Cricetulus griseus: one gene and its partner. The protein of the gene in region 2 interacts with the protein of the main gene of each other region in a biochemical or structural test. Links are inferred from orthologs where the notes say so. Each region holds a gene or a part of one and is shown on either strand. Other genes may lie near its edges.

Evidence for each region. The genes of interacting proteins can lie anywhere in the genome.
Region 1: the proteins of Tbp (region 2) and Drap1 are reported together in a solved structure, tested with the Homo sapiens proteins (2 studies listed by BioGRID, with this or other methods). The link is inferred for Cricetulus griseus from reciprocal best matches to the Homo sapiens genes TBP and DRAP1.

Annotation. Positions count from the first base shown.
Region 1 is NC_048596.1:53,911,274-53,918,652, reverse strand, and holds Drap1 (dr1-associated corepressor), read right to left. Parts: upstream 3,917-7,379; 5' UTR 3,711-3,916; coding exon 3,669-3,710; intron 3,429-3,668; coding exon 3,356-3,428; intron 3,269-3,355; coding exon 3,175-3,268; intron 2,885-3,174; coding exon 2,747-2,884; intron 2,667-2,746; coding exon 2,552-2,666; intron 2,368-2,551; coding exon 2,279-2,367; intron 1,930-2,278; coding exon 1,824-1,929; 3' UTR 1,719-1,823; downstream 1-1,718. Other genes in the region: CUNH11orf68 (UPF0696 protein C11orf68 homolog), read left to right, coding at 4,153-4,274, 4,927-5,683. UniProt on the Homo sapiens protein: The association of the DR1/DRAP1 heterodimer with TBP results in a functional repression of both activated and basal transcription of class II genes.
Region 2 is NC_048595.1:294,439,754-294,447,327, forward strand, and holds the start of Tbp (TATA-box-binding protein), read left to right. Parts: upstream 1-2,776; 5' UTR 2,777-2,916; intron 2,917-4,121; 5' UTR 4,122-4,170; intron 4,171-7,082; exon of another isoform or gene 7,083-7,087; 5' UTR 7,088-7,198; coding exon 7,199-7,252; intron 7,253-7,574. Other genes in the region: Psmb1 (proteasome subunit beta type-1), read right to left, coding at 943-1,052. UniProt on the Homo sapiens protein: The TFIID basal transcription factor complex plays a major role in the initiation of RNA polymerase II (Pol II)-dependent transcription.

The DNA of each region.
Region 1 (7,379 bases), on a different chromosome or scaffold from region 2:
GCAGTCACTGTGGCCCAATTGTGGCACCGACTCACCAGGATGTTCTATGTCTATTCAATTGTGGGGCCAGCTGCCCACACCTCAGGTTGGGGTGGAGCAGTCACAGGAGCACCCTTACAGGTCTGTCTCCAGCATCCAACCATTGCTATGTCTCAAGTCCTAAACCCTGCCCTAGCCTGTGGTCTTCTCTCACACAGCACAGGTGACTGCATCCTGCCTCACAGTCTCCATTAAGCTACTGCTCCTCAATGCTCACTTCAAACCCCCTCCCTATCCTCTCTCCCCCATGTTCTGATGTCCCCCTCCTGTCCCGTGCCCCATACTCTCTGAATATCTAAGATTCTGTCATTTTAAAATCTTTTCTTTTCTTTTTTTTTTTTTTTGCAGTGCCAGGGCTTTGTGAGTGTTAGGCAAGTGCCTCTCATCCTATCCAAACCTTTTGCCATCTTAAAAAGAAGGGGGCTGGAGACATGGCTCAGCATGCTCTTCCAAACAACCAGGGTTCACCAGGACCCACAAAGTGGCTGACAACCATATGTAACTAGTTCCAGGGGATTCAAAGCCCTCTTCTGTCCTCTGTTCATGCAGGCATTAAGTTACCCATACACATAGTACACATTTTACATTCCTGTAGTCCTTCCTCAGCCCCAGCATGGCTTCAGCTCCCTCCCCCTCAGTAACTACTGAAGCAGACATTAAGAATCCTCTTTGGGGATTCTTCCTTGCCCAAAGCATCTGACAACTGTCCTTTCCCTTCTACCAGACCATCGGGACAGCTCAGGGTGTGGCAGCTCCTGTGTCTTGCCTTCCCTTCCAAGTTCATATACCTGTCTCTGGGTGCCCATGTCAACATCACCAATCCACACTTCCTTCAGTGACCTCCAGAGCACCCCAAATTCATCATGGCCAAACTTGAGATCTTGTCTTTTCCTCCTGTGTCCCTCAGCTGAAAAAGTCCCTCCCTTGCCAAAGAGCTAAAGAAAGCTAGAAGAGGTACTTACAGAAACTCTCCCTTAGACCTCTGAAGCCTGCCTTCAAGCCTAAGGTCACACAGGCCTGGGCCTCCCCAGCCACCACCATCCTCATCCACACACCTAGCATGTCCCCAAGGTTCCCTCAACACCCCCATTAGGAGGAAGCCAGTGAGCTTGTTAGCAGATGGACCTACAATCTCCCTCGAGGTTTTTTTTTGGGGGGTTCAGGAACCCCACATGGCCATGTCCCCTGCTTTACTCATGATTGCAGCTTCTTGAAGCTACACCTCTTGCCTTTGGCACTGAGGCTGCCCAGCCTACTCAAACACAGGTAGGCAGACTGCCTGGCTCCAAAGCTGCTTCCCAGTCCCCCTGCTATCTCATCTACCCGACTCTTCACTGTGCTGAGCCCTTCACTGCACTGGTTGCAGAGCTCTATAGTTTTCAAGGCCCAATCTCAGTACTGATCCCATCTATCCTCTCTCAGCAGCCCAGAGAAGGCTGCCCAAGGCTCCACAGCACAATGAAAGGTTAACCTTTAGCACTTCCAGCATGTGGCCGCTCAGTCCCTAGACCACCTTCCTTTCTTCAGTGCTCCTGGTAGTACCCAGACTCCCCACTTTTTACTCAGGTACTGGTTGGCCCACTGTTGTCCCTGGCTGCCCCATGTGGGGAGGTAAGTAGGTTGGCAGTAAGAATGCAGCCACGAATCCCTGGACAAGGACGGAAAAGAAACCAAAATCCTCTTTCTTTTCTTTCTTTCTTTTTTTTAATAAATTTAATCTTCTCCCCAGAGCAACTAATACTAACTAAAAGGGGTATGTGGCCTGGGGTCAGGGGCAGTGAATGCTAGGAGTCATAGTCCTCTTCATCCTCTGCATCAGGTGCTGAGGGGCCAGGGGGCGCTGGGGGCAAAGGCAGAGGAGAGGTGAAGGGCATGAAGGGGGCTGGAGGGCTGCAGGGCAGAAAATGGAGAAAATCAGGGCATGCTACTGTGCCGTGCTGTGCCCAACCCACAGGCCCTGCCACCATGCTCCAGAACCAGATGTGGTATAAATCACCCATTATGTCACAGGAGCCAAGTGTTGTCCCCCCCAACACACACAGGAGAAAAGGGCCCAGAGAATAGCACTGTCCAGGTTTTCTTCCCAACTACAGTGGGAACAAGACCTCACAACATTCCCACTCCCTAAGTGAGCCTCCACCATCAATCATCACTACTACCACCACCAAGTGGCTAGGGAAGTGAAAATTGGCTCTGGGAAGTTTGGCATGTCCCCTTCTGGTGTCCCTGGGCTGAATACCTCTGAAAGGGGGCAGGGGGGTGACTGGCTTGGGGTGGAGGCTGTGGTGTCTCTTCTTCTCCATCAGTATCAGTGTCCTCGGACTCTTCCTGTGAGCACAGCAAGGGGTCAGGGTTCATGAGAGAAGGCCTGGGCCCATGGTTGGGGAGCCCAGACCCTAGGAGCGCAGGGATAGATAGGCCTTCAAAATGTATACATGGAGACAGAGGTACAAAAGGTCATAGATAAGGATAGGTGCAGGCTGCCTTTCCCGACCAAGCTGGCCTCACTCACCTCCTGTTCTGAGTCTGTCCCAGACAGCTTCTTGTCTTTGGCTTTACTTCCGGTGCCTCCATTCTTCCTGCCACTGCTGCCTGGTTTCCGGCCCCTTCGGGAAGGTGCAGTCCATCTGCCCAGAGGACTCTCTCCTCCTGTTCACCCCCCTGCCACCCCCAACCCTCGAGGCCTTGGCCTTTCCCACCTATATACCTGGTCTTGGCTACCCACCTTCGAGGACCCTTGTCCCCATCCATGTGGTTGTCTTCGCCATCCCCTTGCATGTCAGGCACGGATGCCACCAAGTCTTTCAAGAAGTCAAACTGCTGCTCCAGCTCAATGCACTGCTTCCTGGAAGAAGTGAGAAAGAAAGGCGTTCAAAGGGGTCCCAAACACTTCCGGAAGGACAGAAACAGCCTTTTCTTGTCATGACACTGGAAAATGATAAACTCCCCTCCCCACTTCCACCCGGCCTCGAGGGCTTGGCTCTCGTTATTCCCTCCACCTGGAACACCTAATCCCTCCTACATCAGTCCAAACCCACCAAACTGGCTCAAACTCACTCAGCCTTGCACCACTCCCCAGTCAGGACACTGCCTCCTCATAAGCCCTTCCCAGCTCTGCGGCCACTGGCCACTCACAGGTGGGACGTGGTCATGGTTTTGGCATTTCGAGACTGGGTCACCTGGCAAGCCTTCTTCAACAGGGACTCCAGGAAGAGTTCGAGCGCCCGCGCTGAGGGGCGTCAAGGAGAACCCGAGAAGCGGAGTGCCGAAGTCCCGCCCGACGCCCCTCAGCCCAGCCAGCCCCCTAGCAGGATACAGATGATGACAGGCACTGCAGCCGCCACCTTCCCAATCTCTTCGTCCGTCTGCATGATCTTCTTGATCCGCGCCTGCCGAAGGAAGGGGGCAGAGCTCGGACGCGGCCGCCGGCGTCCCTGCAGGAGGCTGGGGGCAGCAAAGGGGCACCCCGAGAGAAGGGGGCGGGAGGCACCACGCCAGGCGAGCACGGAGGGGGCGGGGCTTCAGGCCGCGAACACCTAAGGGCACCCGCACCCCCACCCCCAGCAGGACCTGGGCCCGAGCCTCCCGGGAGCCCGGCCCGCTGAGGCCCGGCCCAGCCACGTGCTCACCGGCGGAAACCGCGCGTTGTACTTCTTCTTCTTGCTTGGCATCTCGGGGCCTCTCTCGCCGCGCCGGGCCCAGCGCCGCCGCCCGCAGCCTACCGGCTCGGGGCCTGTTCGCCGCCGGCCCGCCGCGGTCCCCTCGGGTCCTGCTGCCGCCTGCTCCGCCCCCGCCGCTACCCGCAGGGTCCTAGCGCCGCCCGTCGAAAAGCAGCTCCCCAGACCCAGGCGCTCCGCTTTTGGAGCCTCGGAGGCGGAGCGCGTCCTTCTCAGGGCTCGCCCGCCACGCCCACCCGCCCCCAAGCTAGAAGTACGAACGTTGGCCCCGCCCCCTGCAGGCCGGCTCCTCCCAGGGGTCTCGCGCTGGCCACGCCCCTGACGCAGCCCGCCCCTTTTCATGGAGCCCCGCCCCCACGCGGCTGGTTCCGCCTCTGGCCCCGCCCCGTGACTGCGTTTGTCTATAAAGTTGTTGTTGAGGTGGCGGGACCCTAAGATGGCGGCGGCGGCGGCGGCCGTGGCAGGGGCGGGGCGCGGCGCGGGTGGCGGCGCGGACCCCGGGCAGGAACGGAGCCGGGCCCGAAGTTGGGTTGGTGCGGAACGGAGCGAAGGCCGAAGGTGACTGCGGGGCGGCGAGAGGGACAGCCCCGGGGTGGGGGCAACCCGTAGGCTGTGGGCACTAATGGCGGCGGGTGTGGTAGGACTGAGCCTGGCCCTCCCGCGGGCTCCATCCAGATGAGGTTCGAGTCTGGGTGGCGCCCATTGACCGCAGTGGGCCGCTGTCCTGCCCTCTCTAGGCCTCAGTGTCTCGGTCTTTAAATGGGCCCCAAATAGATGACCGAGGAGGCCTGGCCCTCCACAGCCACCTTTTAGGGTTGGCAAACAAACCTGCGTTTTGCCTATATTGCTTAAATCGCAGAGCCATGCTACCTGCTGGTCTCTAGTCAAGAGGTGTGGCAGAGTAGCCAATTCACACTTCAGCTGTTCACTCACTATAGGTGTGACCTTTTTTCTCTATAAAGTTTCAGTTTCCTTGTTTGTAAGCAGTGCAAGTAGTACTAACAATAGCGACTCCACCTCAGGCATTTTATTCTAGGAGACAAATCTAGGCAGGATCAGTTGTTATCCCATCGTGAACGTGAAGCAACTGAGGCACAGATATTAAGTCTTGCCCAAGGCCACACAGTTTAGCAGTGCCTGGCACCCTCCAGGACCCAGCACTTTGTACCTACTTTCTCAAACCTCCAATGACTCAGTTCCCTCACAACAGGATGGAACCAAATGAGGAGTTGGAAGAGGAGGACTCTCCCGGTGGCCGTGAGGATGGCTTCACTGCTGAGCACCTGGCTGCAGAGGCCATGGCAGCCGACATGGACCCCTGGCTGGTATTTGATGCCCGTACTACACCTGCCTCAGAGCTGGATGCCTGGTTGGCCAAGTACCCACCATCTCAAGTTACTCGCTATGGGGACCCGGGTTCACCCAACTCTGAACCTGTGGGTTGGATTGCAGCCTATGGGCAGGGTTACACCCCCAACTCAGGGGATGTTCAAGGGCTGCAGGCAGCCTGGGAGGCTCTGCAGACCAGTGGGCGGCCCATCACGCCAGGTACCCTGCGCCAGCTGGCTATCACCCACCATGTGCTCTCTGGCAAGTGGCTGATTCACTTGGCACCTGGCTTCAAGCTGGACCATGCCTGGGCTGGCATTGCCAGGGCTGTAGTTGAGGGCCGTCTTCAGGTGGCCAAGGTGAGCCCACGGGCCAAGGAGGGTGGGCGCCAGGTCATCTGTGTTTACACGGACGACTTCACGGACCGCTTGGGAGTGCTGGAGGCAGATTCTGCCATCCGTGCTGCGGGCATTAAGTGCTTGCTCACTTACAAACCTGATGTCTACACCTACCTGGGCATCTACCGAGCCAACCGCTGGCACCTTTGCCCCACTCTCTATGAGAGCCGTTTCCAGCTTGGAGGCAATGCCCGTGGCTCTCGAGTGCTGGACCGTGCCAACAATGTAGAACTGACCTAGTGGGGCCACATGGGAGAGAACAACTTTTGCTCTCCTGCTGGGGATGGATCCTTCTTTCTTCTCTTCCTTGTCCCAAGAAGGCCAAACTCCCTAGCTCTGAGGACTGATTGATTTGGGAACTGCCTGTACTCGGTCCCTTTGAACTTCTCTCTGTGCCGGGTTGACTCCAGCCCCCACAGGCTGGGGGCTTTGGCTCCCTGAGGGCCGGGCCCTCAGCCGCCCTCTTTGATGCTGCTCCCCGCCACTGCCCAGGACCACAGCTTGGGTGCAGATGCTCAAGAAAGCCTGCCCTGGTCACCTCTGTCCCCTACTATACTCAACCTGCATCTTCCTTTTCTTTCCTCCTTCATAAGGGAGAAAACTTAGTGCTTCCAGTCCCTGCCCTTGGTGATATTGTAGCCCAGGTGGCAGGGCCCCTACAGGACTGAGCATGCTGTTGGGGCCTATATATGTCTGGCCAAGAGAGGATGCAGGGTCATGGACATAGGGCCTGCTCCTCCCTGCAAACTCATAGCCCGCATCACCAACATCCCCTCCCTGACTACCTTGACGTGTGCCTGCTCCTGGCATTTCAATAAAACCCAGCTTGGGTCTGTGTCTTGAGGTTTTTTTTTTTTTAATACTGTCCTGATGGTTGCCTGCTTTGGCTCCCAGGAAAGGCAGGGCCAGAAGAGGCAAGTGTCTCTGACCTGACCAGGCTTTCTTTGTCTTCCTCCCTCAGCAATGAAGATGGTGTGTTTCACTGCTGAGGCGGTTTCATTTCTGAGAACCTCTACAAAGCTGATCTCCTGTAACCCATGGATCAGAACTAGTTTTGTAGGTCTTTCCAGGAAGGCGCAAGGGGGCTACTCTTTGACCTTTGTATTTGTTTTAGACTTTTAAGTTTTATTGAGGTGGGGGTCTTACTATGTAGTCCTGGCTGGTCTGGAACTCACTGTGTAGACCAAACTGGCCTCTGACTCAGAAATCCATTTGTCTCTGCCTCCCAAAGTGCAGGGTTTAAAGGCCTGTATCCCCAACTTTTAGGTTTTTAAAAAATTATGTTCGCGGTGGCACATGCCTTTAATCCCATCACTGGGGAGCCAGAGACTGGTGGATCTCTTGAATTCAACGCCAGCCTGGTCTGCATATTGAGTTCCAGGACAGCCTGGGCTACATAACAGACTCTGTCTTTAAAAAACAAACAAAAAAAGGTTCATAGCCTTTATTCCCAGCACTTGGGAGGCAGAGGCAGGTAGATCTCTTTGAGCTCAGGGGAGCAGGGACAGGGTTAAGAGGCTGGGGACTTTTCTAGGCACTTAAGAGCACTGATTACTCTTCCAGAGGACAGTACATTTAATTTCCCAGCATTCTCGTAATGGCTAGTAACATCTCCAACTACAGTTCCAGGGATAAGATGCCCTCTTCTGGTCTCTGCAGACACTGCACACATGGTACAGAGACATACATACAGGCAAAACACCCACCCATACACAAAAATGAATCTTTACAAACTATTAAAACCGATAAAATATAAATTTACTTTTTGGGTGGATGTAGAGACTAGTTTGTCCCATGTACACATTTGGAGGTCAGAGAACAACTTGGAGAAGTCAGTTCTTAACAGTGTGGGTCCCAAGGATTCAACTCTGGTCAGGCAAGTACCTTTATCTAGTAAGCTATCTCAGTTGTTTTGTTTTTTGTTTTTTTTTCCTCG
Region 2 (7,574 bases):
TGTCCTGGAACTCACTCTGTAGACCAGGCTAGCTTCGACTCACAGATATCCATACCTGCCTCTGCCTCTGGGATTAAAGGCATGCGCCACCACCACTGCCTGAATGTTTTTCTTAACAAGCCACATTTTTTTGATAATTGGTTGTTTATAGGTATAAAATTGATGAAAACTACCTATATTGCCAAAGGTCCTAAATTCGAGGTGAAGACATCCCTTCGAACAAAGCGGATAATTTAAAGGCGCAAGCAATTTCAGAGTAAGAACACGAACACGAACGAACACACACACACACACACACACACACACACACACACACAGAGAGCGGGGGGGGGCAACCGTCTAAGGCCGGGGACACAGCTCAGCAGAACACGACACACACACACACACAGGCAACCGTCTAAGGCCGGGGACACAGCTCAGCAGAACACGAACACACACACACACACACACACACACACACACACACACACACACACGCAACCGTCTAAGGCCGGGGACACAGCTCAGCAGAACACGCGCGCACACACACACACACACACTCACACATAGTCAACCGTCTAAGGCCGGGGACACAGCTCAGCAGAACCTGCCCAGCAGGCCAAGTCGCAGAGTAGAACAAAACAACCCCTATTTCATCCCTGAACTTAAACCAAACGAGCATTAAGAGAAAAAAAAAACAAAACAGTGATCTACAAAGCCACCAGGACAAATCAGTGCTGAGGACAGGGCCCCCCTCGCCCGTTGGCTGTGGGGACGTGTTCAAGCCCCAAGAGACGACAGTGTTAGGAGCAGAGGGCTAGGGTGGGCGCCTGCCCTGAGGAATGCGGGAAGCATGCGATCCCGAAGGCGTCCGTGCAGGGCTCCGGGAGCCGGGCTGCGGAGCGCCCCGACAGGCTGCATCCCCACAGCCGCCCGCCCGCCCCAGGTGAGCCCAGCTTTTACCCTCCGTTGAAGGCATACGGCGAGAAACGCATCTGCACAGGGACGGCGGAGCCGTGAGGCCCCATGCCCAGCTCCCGCTCGGGGTTCCCGAAAGCAGCCGTGGAGAGCATCACACCGCGCTCCTGCTGTCTCACAGCAAAATGGCCGCCGGGACAGGTCCACTTCCGACCCGACCCGCCCCTCCCACCGGGCTCCTCTAGCCCGCACTCGTCGTTGCTCTTGGAGGTCTGTGCCTATGCCCCGCTACATATCCAGCTTGGGGTCCACCAATTAATTCCAGGAGACCTGTTTTCCAACCCCAAGAAAACATTCGATTCACTCATGGCCATACCAAAAACAAACAAAAAAACAAAAACTAGTTGCAGAGCAATGACAGCTCCGATTGTCACATTGGTGAAGTGGCATTTGAGGAGTTGCAGCTCCTGCTATGTTCAAGTCCTAGTGGTCAAGATGCATGGTCAGCTGTGTGGTATACGCAGCCACGCGATCCAGGAAGCGATACTAGGTTTCGCCAGCCAGAGCCTGATGGATCGTATTAACTTGACAGAATCTAGAATCACCTAGTAAAACCTCGCGGGCATGCTTATGCAGGTGATTTCAGGACAGTGTAGCTGAGAAGGGAAAACCCACCCTAAATATAGGTGGCACCATCCCATTGCCTGGCTTTCTGAACAAAAAGGAGGGGGAAAAAAAGAAAGAAAGCAAACTAACATTCATCTCCTTAGACTTCCGGTCTGCGGATGCAGTGTGACTCCCCCCTTCTCCAGACGTCAGGCTTCCCCATGGTGGACTGTACCCCTCAAGCCGTATGCCAAAAGGAACCTCCTTCTCTTAAGTTGCCTCTTGTCAGGCCTTTGTTAAGTTTTCTTAATGTCTTAAGGTTCACTATTCTTCCAAGAGAGAATGTTTCATTTAGAAGAAAATAGGTAACCAATACTATTGTACTTATTAGAATCCATGCAGAGGTCAACACCCTAGGCACATAACACACACAGGTAATATCCATCTCTCACACACACCCCTAACCTAAAGGAGCTTATCACCTCGTTGATAGTGCTAAATCCAAGGGAAAGGGAATAAGCAGAACTTCCTTTCTGCCTAGGTGAACCATATCAAGAAGAAATCAAGATACGCTGGAATTCAATCAAACGTTAAGAAGCAACCTAAGAGACAACTGCTGTTTTCTTGGAACAGCCCAGAAGTCAGCTGTTCGTCGCTGAGCTAAAATGTAAATGAATTTGTGACTCCACCTCCCCTGTGTCGTTGTCGTTCTTCAGATACCAGTTAACTTTCACTGAGGGTATGCTATTCGTGTCATTGAAATCACAAATTTCTAGGAGGCAGCTGCTACTACCATTCAGCTTTATGGCGTTAAGTGGAGGATGTAGGGAGCTTGCCGAGGGTAACACTGTAAGTGCAAAATCCTATTCGACTGGCAGGGCGTGGTAGCCTACGCCCTTAATCCCCTCGCTCCGGCGGCAGAGGCAGGAGGATCTGAGTTCGAGGCCAGCCTGATCTACAGAACGAGTCCCAGGACAGCCAAGGCTACACAGAGAAACCCTTTTTCAAAACAACAACACCCATGGGAGGCCAAGGATGTAGCTCATTGACAGATCGCTTGCTTGAGTTTCACCCCTATCGTACATCCCCAACAGTCACCTCTGCACCCTCCAAGTTTGCAGCCTCTAACGAGAACCGGTCGGGAAGAGTTGTCCAGGGGGCCCCGCCCCAGCCCCATCCTCGCCCCGGAACTTCTGGGGAGCCCCGCCCCCTCATTTCCTTAGCCAGGGATCCGCCGCCCGTGCCGGGCTTCAGTCAAAAAGCGCAACTGCCGGAAGTGACGGCATCAGATGTGCGTCGGGCCTCGGCGGGGTCGAGTCCGGGAGCGGTGGCGGGTAGCTGCTGGCGGTTTGGCTGGCTGGCTGGCTGGCTCTCTCTCTGCGGTCGCGTCATTTTTTTCTCCGCAGCGCCCAGGTAACGGTCGTTCGGCTTTTTTCCCTCTGCTCCGAGGGCCTTGACCAAGGCGACCTGTGCGGCGGGCATCCCGGAGACTGCCGGCGGAGACGCGGGCGTGGGGCGCGCGGCCCGGCGGGGAACGGTCCCCCGCGCGCGCCGCGGCAGCTCGGCCGGCAAGTACCAGTCGCCGGGCCACCGCTTCGGCGGGGTCCTCCAAACCCAGCGCCGAGTGTGAGCCTCCCTGAGGGACTGGCACCGGGCGGCACCGCGCGCCTCGGCTGCTCCTCCCCCCCCCCATTAGAAGACGGGTTTTTACCCAGGCCTGGGGCCGCTCCCCCGTAAGGGTAGTTGTGTTAGGGAGCGGTTTGGAGACTCTTAAACTCATCTCGTCAGCAGCAGCCTGAGATTCGAGCACGACAGAGATCCCCGCTTGGTTTGCTCGCTCTCCCGTCTCTGGGCTCCGGTTAGCGGGTGGTTTTTCCCGAAACCCTGGGTTAGACTTTTCTGAGAAGAGACAGCAGTACTGGGTTAGGCAGGCGCGTGAAGACGGCAGAATTGTTTCTCAGATACTCAGTTTGATGGCTGCGTTTCCTAAAAGATGAAGACCCTGAAAAAACCGGCTAAGAATAAGTTAGTGTAGTGATTATTTTCGAGTTTGTGATACAAGTGAGGAAAGATGGTTTACATCGCCTGCAGGTGTGAGATGTGACCTCTGCGTAGCGTAGCCTTCTGCCAATTTCCGCCTTACATATAATCAGCCGGTTCGGTAAACTTGATTTGCACGAAATGATCTGGGTAAATCTCTGGTTATAATTACATCCAATCATCGTTATCTTTTTCGCTCAACTATAGCGGTGACCTCTGAAATTGAATTTTCTCAGATTTATCCCATCCCAGCAGAGAGGTGGTGGCGCACGCCTTTGATCCCAGCACTCGGGAGGCAGAGGCAAGCGGATCTCTGAGTTAGAGGCCAGCCTGATCTACAGAGCTACACAGAGAAACCGTTGCTCAAAAGATTAAAAAAAAGAAAGAAATCCCATTGCCTGTGTAATAACATCTTACACTCCGAATTATGTAACCCTCCTATAGTTGCTTGTCATCTCTTGTAGAGACTTTCCATACTAAGCCTGTCACTTACATACTGGATGCTCTATTATATTAGCCTTTGTCTTACTTTAACTTTTTGTGTGTGCTGATTCGTACATTTTTGTTCCTCATGCTAGATCCGTGTTAAATTGCTCCTGGCTTGTGAAAGATCTGGCCTCTCAAACGGTACGTAACTTTATGTATGTGAATGTTTTGCCTGTATGTCTGCTTGTATACCACATGCATACCTGGGGTCCATGGAAGACAGAGAGCACTGGTTGCCTGGGACTGGATTTACAGCTAGTTGTGAGCAGCCATGTGGGTGCTAGGAATCAAACCTAGGCCTTCTGAAAAACAACATTGCTCCTAACTGCTCTCCAGCCTCTTGACTTTAGTTTGCATTCTTTCTTCCATAGCATTCATTCATGGTTATGCACTGCATGCCAGGCCTAGTCCTAATTGAAAAGATTTGAAGACATGAATGCTGGTTTTAGTTTCTTGCATCTTGCCTTACTTAGTAAATAACTGTGATTTTAGTGCTTGCTAATTTTTTTACAGTTATTTGTATTTTTTTTTAATATTGACAAGGACTGTATCCTCTTCATCTTTATCTTTGTATCTGGAGCACTTCTGTTACAGAATAATAACATTTTCTGATGATATCAGAAAAAGTGTAATTTTCTTGTAAATTTAGTATCTCTTGTATGTCTAGTATCTCTCAGAAACAGGCATCTCTCTCTTTTTTTTTTTTTTTGGTTTTCGAGACAGGGTTTCTCTGTGTAAGCTTTGGAGCCTATCCTGGCACTCACTCTCAAACTCACAGAGATCTGCCTCTGCCTCCCGAGTGCTAGGATTAAAGGCATGCAGCACTAACACCCGGCCTTCTTTTTTTAAGATTTATTATGTATAGTGTTCTGTCTGCATGTATCCCTGCAGGCCAGAAGAGGGCACCAGATTTAGTCCCAGCACTTGGGAGTCAGAGAAAGGTGCATCTCAGTGATTTCAAAGGCCAGCCTGGTCTACAAAATGAGTTCCAGGACAGCCAGGACTACACAGAAAAACCCTGTCTTGAAAAACAAAAGGAAAAAGTGCTTCTCAGTAATGAGTTTGTAGGAGTATCTTTTGGGTCCTCTGTCCTCTCAAAGAGATTATGAAATTCTTTGATTGATTTAGTAACATCAGAAGAAGGCCTGTGTCAGCATATACTTAAAATGACCAGGGGTCGTGAGTATAAGACTTGTAAATTTTAGATGATAATAAATGTTTAGAATAAGATCTGATTGTTGGGCTGGGGAGATAGCTCAGTGGTTAAGAGGAGTTACTGCTATTATAGAGGACCTGGGTTTGGTTCCCAGCACCTAGATGGTAGGTAGCTCACAACTATCTGAAACTCCAGTTGTAGGGAATCCAATACTCCCTTTCTAACTTCTGCAGGCACTACACATGTGATGTGCATATATACATGCATACAAAATACTCATACACATAAAATGAAAACCTTTTTTTAAAAATGTAATAATATCTGTCCTGTACTTAACTATGTGTATATAGATTCACCCACTCCCGCTCCCCCCCTTCTCCCTCCCCCCCCCACATACATATACACATTTTCTCTGTGTAGCCCTGGCTGTCCTGGAACTCAGATCTGCCTGCCTCTGCCTCCCATGTGCTGGGATTAAAAGTATGTGCCTCCACTGCCCCGCAATTAGATTCATCTTGATTGATAGCTCATTCAGTTTGTTCATCCATTGTTGATTCATTCAGTCCTTAGGGCATCTCTGAGCAAGTTATTGGTCTGCATGAACTGACTTGATTAAAACAAATGTCTTTAAAGAATTGGGGATGGGCATTTGCCTAGCATTTATGAGACTATGTTCTGTCACTACCATTACCAATTTAAAAAAAAAAAAAAAAAACTTTACATAGTCTCTTATTCCATATGCATATTGAATATGGCCACTAAAATGATGATTTATGAAGCCCAGTTCCAGGCATAGTTTTCATTAGTATGTTCTAAGGAGTTAAGAATAAATATTGTATTTATAAAATTGATGTATCATTTATTGTTTAATCTGTCTTTAATTAAAATTGGAACACAAAAATGATTACCTATGCTAAAAATGATTACACAATATGCTTATTGTGTCCAGTTCAATATTTGTGGCACTTTATGCTTGAGACATTGTGAAGGGTATAAAACTGAGAATATTTAAAAACCAGCATTGACCTAATAGTGCTGTATAAACACTGCTTAAGAAAGTATTCTCTGATAATACAATTTGCTTAGGAATTAGTTTTCTCTAGGTGTTCCCCCATACCAAAAACAAGTTCTTTCTACCTGGCCACTAACCAGGTTTATTGGTTTATTCATCAACCAATAAGAGAAACATATACACAGAAGGACATCACCACATCATCTCCTCTTTTCTAAATAAAAAGGGTTTTATCCTTAACATGGTAAAATTACATATAACAAAACAGTTATCAAGTAAGAACTATAGTTACAATATTTAGTCCATTAACATTTAGCAAGATTTAAAGAAAATATTCTATCTATCCTATCTTTGTGAGTCTAAAGTCTTATGTGTAACTTATCTTTTATCATAACTAAGGAAAACAGTAACTGTAACTATTTGTCTTCAACTCCATCAAAGACCATAGAAGGATAGTATATAAACTCTAGAATTGACAGAGACATCTCACTGCCTGGTCAATCACCCAAAGTTCCTCTATAACATTGGAACATCCATCTTCGGCCCATAGGCCATAGTGTGTCTGACAGACTTCTCAGTGAAACAGGAAATTTTAAACTGTCCTTCTGTATTGGCAGACATTTCCATGAAGCAGGAACCCTGCAGGACTGTCCCATTTTGTTTCAGCAGTTCAGCAGTCACTTTCCTGTGGGCACTGCATGTCCACCATATACGGTATACAGGCAAACAGTCCAGGCAAGAGCAGTTTCTTGCCCAAATAGTCATGTCAAAAGCAATAGGCTTTTGGGATTGAAAGATAAATATATTTCTCCAGGATAGATTTTGTGTGTGTATGTTTTGTGTGAATATGAAACCTATTTAAACTTAAAGCATTTTTCCCCCAAGCACAGCATCACTGTTTCATGGTGTGTGAAGATAACCCAGAAAATTAAAGGAGTTTCAAAAGAGAATTTGCAGAGGATGCTCTAGGAAAAGTCTGAGTACTGAAGACAGTGAGAACCATGGACCAGAACAACAGCCTTCCACCTTATGCTCAGGGCTTGGCCTCTCCACAGGTAACAACAGGAAGGGGGGACAAGAAGGGCTGACAGAGAAGGTGAAATTTAACCATCCAGTAATGGACATGGATTTGTATGTTTCTCAAGCTTGTTTTACTTTGTGAAAATTTATGCTGTGGATAGGCATAATGCCCCTTTGCTTGGGAGTTTATTTAGAAGACTGTTCCATCTTTGTGAACTGTAGAACATTTATTTCATTTGCTTCAGGAGGTTCCTTCTAGACCCTCTCGCAGTCACTTTCCTAGCCCAAGATGACAACCAAATCTGCTTTCCAAAATTAAACATGTTTTGATGTAAAATGTATGTGTGTATTTGCAAT